2 linked regions of the Caenorhabditis elegans genome follow. The protein of the gene in region 1 purifies or fractionates together with the protein of each later gene. This does not show direct contact. Each region holds a gene or a part of one and is shown on either strand. Other genes may lie near its edges. The genes, in order: B0244.15 and Y38H6C.8.

Evidence for each region.
Region 2: the proteins of B0244.15 (region 1) and Y38H6C.8 fractionate together in Caenorhabditis elegans (co-fractionation; one large-scale study listed by BioGRID). This does not show direct contact.

What each region holds. Positions count from the first base shown.
Region 1 is NC_003281.10:5,741,637-5,745,419, reverse strand, and holds B0244.15 (G-protein coupled receptors family 1 profile domain-containing protein), read right to left. Parts: upstream 2,037-3,783; coding exon 1,619-2,036; intron 1,476-1,618; coding exon 1,251-1,475; intron 1,160-1,250; coding exon 850-1,159; intron 802-849; coding exon 600-801; downstream 1-599. Other genes in the region: Putative G-protein coupled receptor B0244.5, read right to left, coding at 1-7, 98-231, 446-541; B0244.16 (G-protein coupled receptors family 1 profile domain-containing protein), read right to left, coding at 2,598-2,736, 2,824-3,041, 3,085-3,176, 3,226-3,319, 3,429-3,559.
Region 2 is NC_003283.11:20,511,992-20,516,301, reverse strand, and holds Y38H6C.8 (C-type lectin domain-containing protein), read right to left. Parts: upstream 2,342-4,310; 5' UTR 1,537-2,341; coding exon 1,454-1,536; intron 1,404-1,453; coding exon 1,285-1,403; intron 930-1,284; coding exon 655-929; 3' UTR 570-654; downstream 1-569.

The sequences.
Region 1 (3,783 bases):
TTTAGTTCTGAAACATTATTACTTGCAAATGTTCCCTAATGAAAAGCTTCGCCACAAAGTTACATGCACTACTAATCAAGGTGAGTCAGTAACTCACGTGTCATTCATTTTTCTGAATTCAGGTATTAATATTGATAAATAATATCCGTTTAAGATAAATGCAATCACAAATAAAGTGAATGGAATACATAAATTGGCCCAAAAGTCGATTGCCTGAATAATACCGACGTCCTGGAAACTGGCACTTTTAATCAGATGTGTTTTCGTTTTTTTTCATTGTTTAATTTTCAAGTATTCACCAGCACCCTTAAAAAATATGAGAAAAATTATTAAATTCAACATTTTGAAAGTTTGCATTATTTATAAATCAATAATCCAAAAAAAAAAACACACAAGTAACACTCTAAAATTTGTGTGAAATTTTTGATTAAAACTTAAGACCAACCTGAATAAGAACACATTGATTAGTTGTGTTTGTGCAATTTAGAAAGTATGGCTCGTATTTCGAATGATATGAACAATTTTCGAAAATATTTTGCATTTCCCCATAGGAAACTATAGGAATCTAAAACCCCTACCAGCAGTTCATACGCTTCTTATCAGTAAGGATTATCACTTGTAGAAAAAGAGTTGCGACTCATTTCTTTTGAAGTTTTTCGATTTCCGTGGGAGTGAGTCCATAAAGTTTCTAGAACCTTTGCGTAGTACTTTTTACACATTTTCAGTTGTTTTTTGGTTTCTGATAAGACTTTTTCGTCGAATAATGTACTTGCGAGTGGGTCCAATATGAGAACTAGCGCCCTGAAAATTATATTTTGAAGCAAAAGAAAATTTATGAGGATAAACTACCAAACAATAGAATTCATTGAAGTAAAAATAGTGGCATCAACCAAACGATCAGCTTGATAAAAGTTATTACAAGTATTCAGAGCATTGTCTGCTTTAAGTCCAATCAGTAGACTCTCTGGGATCCCTTCAGCTAAACTGATTACTATAATTGCTGTGAGAGTCCATCCAAGCCGCCCTCGAGCATGGTGAAGAGTTTGGGAAGATGTGTAACTTCCGAGTTTTTTGGCTTTTCGAATATGAAAGCTCAGGCAAATAAAGACAAAAGACAGGATGATTATTGTGATAAGAAATGCAAAGCTGACGATTATAACTGAAAAAGTAATAAATTATTGAACGTTGTAATCACGATTTATCTCTATCTGAGACACTCCTTATAAACAACATGCAGTATGAAATCTCACAATTTATCAAACCAACAATTGGACTGCAAACTTGGGAGTCACACTTAATAGGGCCAGGCACATAACCAGCGGTTTGAAATAACCCAGTAGGAACTGATACCACAACTGCCAGAATCCAATTTAATATTGCAAATATGTAAATTTTTCGAAGGCGCAGATGGGTGGAAAAATAGACTGGGTGAATAACTCCTATGTATAAAAGAACTGCCATTCCGATATAAGACCCTGGAAGTTAAATTAGAAACACATCCGACTTAATCATCAACATTCGCACGTCGTTCGTTGGATCATGCCCGAAATTCAAATTTTATTTTGTATTCAAAATAACTTCAAGAAGCTTTTTACTTTACACTTATAATAATAAATACCTTGTAGACTATAAAAGCTGATATCATTGACAATAACCACCACGGCATACAAGAAATAATTTGATTTCGTACTTCCAGGCGGAAAATATACATACAATATACATCGAAGAATTAATAGTGTTAGTGCTGCACTAATAGATGATACACATCTACTCACAACAAATACGTATCTTTTTTGAGTTGAATGACTCATTTTTAAGTATAATGGAAGGACAATTGTCATAAAATAAACATTGAGTATTCCTGCAATTGTGAAGAGAATGCAGGAAATGTAGAAATCTAGAATAGTTAGAAGCTCGGCCACCACCGCAAAATCATGGATGAGCTCACAGGGACGGGATGTATTAGTGCAGTTGAGGAAATATTGTTCGATGGGATAATGGTTAGTGCAATTGGAAAACAGGTTCGTGGTGGACATCTGATTGGAAATGAGAAATGATAAGAGAGAAAGTAAATGAAGATTAAAAAGTGGTCGACTGTGAGAAGGAACAATTTTTTGTTTCGAAACAATAATTTGAATGCCAAAATGTAATTATTGTAGGCCGATACGTTGTCAGGTTTGTCGCATAATCTTCGCTTTTTCTTTGGCTTCGACAATATGTACCTGCACAAGACTAACGAGGCTCACCAGTTGAGATGGGAAACAAGCAGTAGAGTGTTTTTTTCATTTCTGGGAGGCACGAAGCAGGCAGTGTTATTATGGGTAGCCACAATATGAAGAGCTGCATGACTGTGTCTACATAATTCGAAGATTTGCTCTATAGAGCTTACTGTTTAAAAAAAAAGAAAGAACTGGCCGGGACATTAATCTTCGAATTATGTAGACACAGTCATGCAGCTCTTCATATTGTGGCTACCCAAAATAACAATGCCTGCTTTGTATACCCACATCTCATTCGAAAAACATATGAATAACTTAATTGTTTCTTTGTAAAATAATTTGTTTCACATATAAATAATTTGAAAATAGTTATGAACATCACAATGGCGCTAATGCTGCAGCAGAAGAAATATTTGGAATCTTCTCACGAAGCCATCGAAATTGTTGTTTTACTTTTTCCGAGACCTTTTTGTCGAAGAAAATATTGACGATGGGGTCCAAAATGAACAGGAAGATCCTGAAATAAAAATGAAAATTATTTATTGATTGTTAAAGTAAAGCTTATCTGCCTGCCTACTAAATGAAATCTTTAGACATCACTTACCATACAACTGACTCACAGAGTCCTGCAATAACTTCTCCCATAAACTTATTTGCTTTGTAGAAACCTTTACAAGTCTCAATATCATGAGGTGCTACGTCAAGTAAAAACACGTATGGAATAATTTGAGCCGCTGCAATAAGGCAAACTGCAATAATTGACCAACCAAGACGATTGCGGACCCGTTTCACAGAGGATGCAGATGAGGAAAGAGTATTTGACTGGAAATTCCAAGTTTTACTATTTTTCTATAAAAATACTTACTCTTTTCAATTTCCTGCTACTTCTCACCAAAGAGATAAATACAAAAAATAAAATAGCAATTGTGAACACCAAGCAAACACTGGCAATTATAACTGTAACTTGTAGATTTAGTAGACATTTGAATTGAATTTCTGTAGTTACATTCAATGAGATTCACCCATGGTACACAGGTTGATAAGCTGCAGTTGATAACTCCGGGACTTTGAATTGCTGCTTGAAACACACCGATAGGTATCTGAAGTATAATAATCTCAATTCCGAATAAAAATTGCAAGTCATTACAGAAACCATATCCTAATAGTGTTCAATTAGTATTTTTAATATATCTGGCCATAAAAACTTACTGAAATTACCAATGAAGTCAAATAAATTCCCAAAACTAAAATATAGACAAATCGTAAAGTGATGAGAGATCTGAAGTACACCGGATACATTACTCCAACATAGAAAAGAAGCGCCAACGCGGCATAGGACCCTGAAACAGGTTTGAAATTATTTGTACGTAAAACGTTCCGCACTGTTTAAGTCAAACAAAAGATGTATGTCATTTGAAAGAGCAAGTTTCAAATAGGTCACAACAAAAGGTTAAGCTGTATACGAGGACTTAATAATCAACTTGTTCTAGCTCCATTCCCATTTCATTTTTTCAACAAAAAAACAGAGTTTGTGACTATTTTTGTGATTTCACACCTTTTTTGT
Region 2 (4,310 bases), on another chromosome or scaffold:
AATAATAGTTGATAGTACACAATAAATTTGTCATTGTTGTTATAATATGATACAGGCATATTGAAAAGACACGTGGTGTCAGAGTGTCTCATTTCGGTTTGATCTACGTAGATCCACAAAAATGCGGGAGTTGAGACGCATGCTTTTCAACTGATTTCGCATGGTTAAGCACGTGTTGACGTCACATTTTTTGAGAAAAAAATCACGCATTTTTTGTAGATCAAACCGTAATGGGACATCCTGGCACCACGTGAAAAGAGACTTCTAAAGCGGAAGGGCAAGTTTGTTCCTGGAACTTTTAAGAAAACTGAGGTAGAAAGCTGAGATTAAATTTAGGTCTAAGCCTAAGCCTAAAGATGAAACTTGAGCTTACGCCGTTACACTAGCCTAGCTCAATCATATGCCTGCCTTAAGTGAAACAAGGTGAGAGGCCTGAGCATAGCCCACAAGCATAAGCCTTATCCTAGTTCAACGTTGTAATCTTATTTCTAAACATGTGCCTACGCTTTAGAGAAAATGTAAAATCTGAAAACTTTAAACCAAATCAAATAACAATCTAAAATGTTTTTTTTTCGAATGTTGTTTCCATTAAACAATGTGAGGTAATTTATTAACATGAGAGGTACTTTGTTGTAATAAAAAAAACTTAAATCATCAAATCTCTAGGCACGGAGGGCATGTTGGAGAGTATGCCCCATTGGGATACTGGCACAGAAACTGGATCCTTTCATCGCACACTTGGGAAAACCACTTTCCAGTCGAAATGAGCATAGTTCCGCAGTGCCGATCTTCAAGTGGCTGTCCTGGTCCCCAATTGGAGAATCGCATTGGGCTCCCGTCAATCCAAGTCCAATTGGTGTAGTGGGCAGCGTCGCTGGCTCCGATCCAAAAAGAGTTGTAGTCGGCGTCGAGGTGGTTTACCGCCAGTTCTGGAAAAATGTTAAACATTTTTATGAAGAAGGAGGTACTCATTGGTAGCCAAGGATCGGGCAAACTATAGTCAGACTTCTGTCAAATTTCGATGCTAACTGTGGACATGGCATTAGTGATAGAAAGCGGTAAGAATCAGTTAGCAAAGCTCGTTCAAAGAAAATATCTAGCTATTTTTACATTTTCTACGCTTGGAAGTTAAAATGTTTCGATTTTCTTCATGATAGATTTTGCATGCGATGTTAATCTATCTTGATTAAGTTGCTGGAGCTAGAATATGTCTGTCTATACCATTCCTAGCTAGCTTCACCCGCCATTAGACCATGTAGTTCCCGTCTAATTTACAAATCTCACTTTGCATCCAATTGTTATCGATAATATTCGTGATTTTTACCAGACTCCCTCCAAACATCTTTACACACAAATCGTTGGCATCCTTGAACTTTCCATGAACACGGTTGAACGAGTAGCAGCTGGAACTCTCCAATTCAGTTTTCTGTCCCACAAAACTCTTTTCACTTACGAATCTCCAAATCCAACATCTCCCGGAACACAGTCCGGCGCGACAGAGCACACTAGACAGACAATGATAAATAAGCGAAGCATAATTTTGAACCTTCCTCAGCGGAGAAACTCATCTTATCAGCTTCTATTTATATGTGTTTGTAGAAACCGCGCCTCTTCCCGTAGTGATTACTTATCACAAAAATTTTAATCATCCATATTTCATAATTTCATGAGTTTTGTAACAAATTGGTGCATGAACAAGATAGTCTGGTTGTTCGAGGCATTGAAATTTCAAATTCCACCACCCTTCTTTGAATTAATTTATTCTTGATTGTCATAGCATCTCTTTTTATTATCAATCAAGAAACGATAATGTGAGATTTTTGGAAATATTGGAGAGATTCAGGTAATACGATAGTTTTCTGTATGTCAAGAGTTAATAGTGCCAGAGATCAAAACACTATCGGAAATAGTGTGGGGTTCGACGAGACGATGAGTTCACTCTTCCAAATGTAGTCCTCATCGAAGCTTCGTAAAAATAGTATAGGGAAATGAGAGTTTATTACTATGAGATAAGTTTTCAGATATATCTGTGGTTTTCACGATGAAAGAGACAATAAGAAAACAGGAGGCGAAAGATGTGAGCTCCCTCCAAATGTAGTTTTCAGGTTAGTGATAATAAAGAAAGACATCGAGAGATTATCATATATTTTTTAGTTATCTCTCACGAGAAAAGACAAGCTCTGTAGTGCAGGTTTGTAAGAGGAGAAGAAGAGCGGAGATATAGTAAGAATGGCTTGTCATGAGCAGGTTTATTAGTTAATAAAGTAATTTACAGAAAAGCAGTTTGTTGGGGGCAAACAGCGAACACGTGACAACGGGTTAAAAGTAAAGGAAAAAGGCCTCGAATGAGCGAAACCGCTCCTTTTATAGGGGAAAAGGGAGGGGGAGAGAACATTCGAGAACGATGACAATTAGAGTTGGCGCCGGCAATTCAGATCCGCGCGCCGTCCGGTGGAGCGCACTTGCAGCGTGCATTGATGAACGTTGGCAAGTCTAGTCGTTGTCTTTGGCAGCGGTTCTGGCCGGATAACCGTGATGTTACCCGCTACGGCAGCACTTGCTGGACCTGTAAGACAATAATAAATGTGGGGAATTGTACCGAGCATGGGGAGACGCGGAAACTCTTACACCTCCCCCCTTTCTTTCAGGACCGTCCCTGGTCCTCAAAAGTATAAGGTTCTTTAGGTAGGCTGTGTTAACAGGCCCTAAGAGTTTCTGCCGTCTAACCATGAGAAACTTTTATAAAACTTAGTGCTTACGTACTAATACCTTACTAGGGAATGACCAGAATAAATGGAGCGATATTCAAAAAAAAAATATTGTATCGGAAAGCTGACATTCTCTACTATAAGAATATGACTGAAATTTTTGCCCGTTCGAGCTGGAAATCTGAAATTTTTACGTCTGAAATTCTACACTGAAATCAGTGCATTTCCTATGGTTAACAGTGGATTTTTGTCTCTGGCGCCAACAGAAGTCTCACCACAATGGTGGAAGGGCGAAAACATCGGTTCGGTGGTCGAGTGGTGAACGCGTTCGCCTCTTGAGCAGAAGTTTGTGTGTTCGGTTCCCATACATGGTTTAACTTTTGGCCTTTTTTATACAAAATTTTCAGAACGGGAAACAAGTATTTAGAACATTTTTTTGAGGGTTTTACATAATTTTTTTGCTTTTTAATTGAACCATAATTACCCTGGAAACTTTTCAGAAATTTTAATTTTTTTCGAAAATTGTCACTTTTTTCTCCACCAAACCCATGAGAAAATTTGATCGAAAAATTTTTTTTTGAAATTTTTTTAAAAATGCATGAAATATTTTAGAGTGTCACAAATAACCTATTTTTCATTATTTTCAATGACCGAATCATTGATTCTGATGCCTTATCAAGACGTTTTACCAAATCGATATTGGCAAAACATCTTGTTTTTGAGGCTCCATATCTCTGCAGGAAAAAATCGCACTAAAAAGTGATCAACTAGAAACTTGTTAAACACAATGTGATCTAAAACATTTCAGTTGAACACTTTTTTGTAAAAAATTTCGTTGCCGAGTTGGAACCAATTGATTTGAGCTTCATTATTTTTGAATATTCTAAATAGTTAAAGATCTATATCTTGGCAACGAAATTTTTTACAAAAAAGTGTTCAACTGAAAAGTTTTAGATTACATTGTGTTTAACAAGTTTTCAGTTAATCACTTTTTAGTGCGATTTTTTCCTGCAGAGATATGGAGCCTCAAAAACAAGATGTTTTGCCAATATCGATTTGGTAAAACTTTATTTTAATTTTTTTTTTTCATATTATTGTTTTTATATTGGGTCAAAACGTATTTGCTCTGCTAAATAGTTAGCTGGCGCTAATTTTTAATTTTATTATTTTCGTATTTTGATAAATTTCACTGAAATTGTCCCTTTAATAGTTTACATTCTATTGGTTTTCTTTTATTCAATGTCTTTTGATATCGGAAACGTGATGTTTGCCTTGCATCGTCATTTTCCCAATCCCCTCCCATCAAATCCCTCGATTTCGAGACATGAGCAGAAGGTGGCAGATCATTTGGCAAGCATTATAAAGGAATCTTATTATGGAGATACCAGTGTGGAAGAATCCGAATATTTGGTTCAAGAAGAATATGGCGATTGGGAGCCAGAAGTTTTTGAGGTATGTTGGTTTCGACACTATTAATTGTCATTTAAAAAACCTTTCAGCCGTATGACTGTGTGTTGCCGGATCAAGATGATGTATTGTTCGGTGAGAAAGCTGTATCAAGGGAAAAGTTGGATAAAGCGATCACCTTCTACCGTAGCGGAA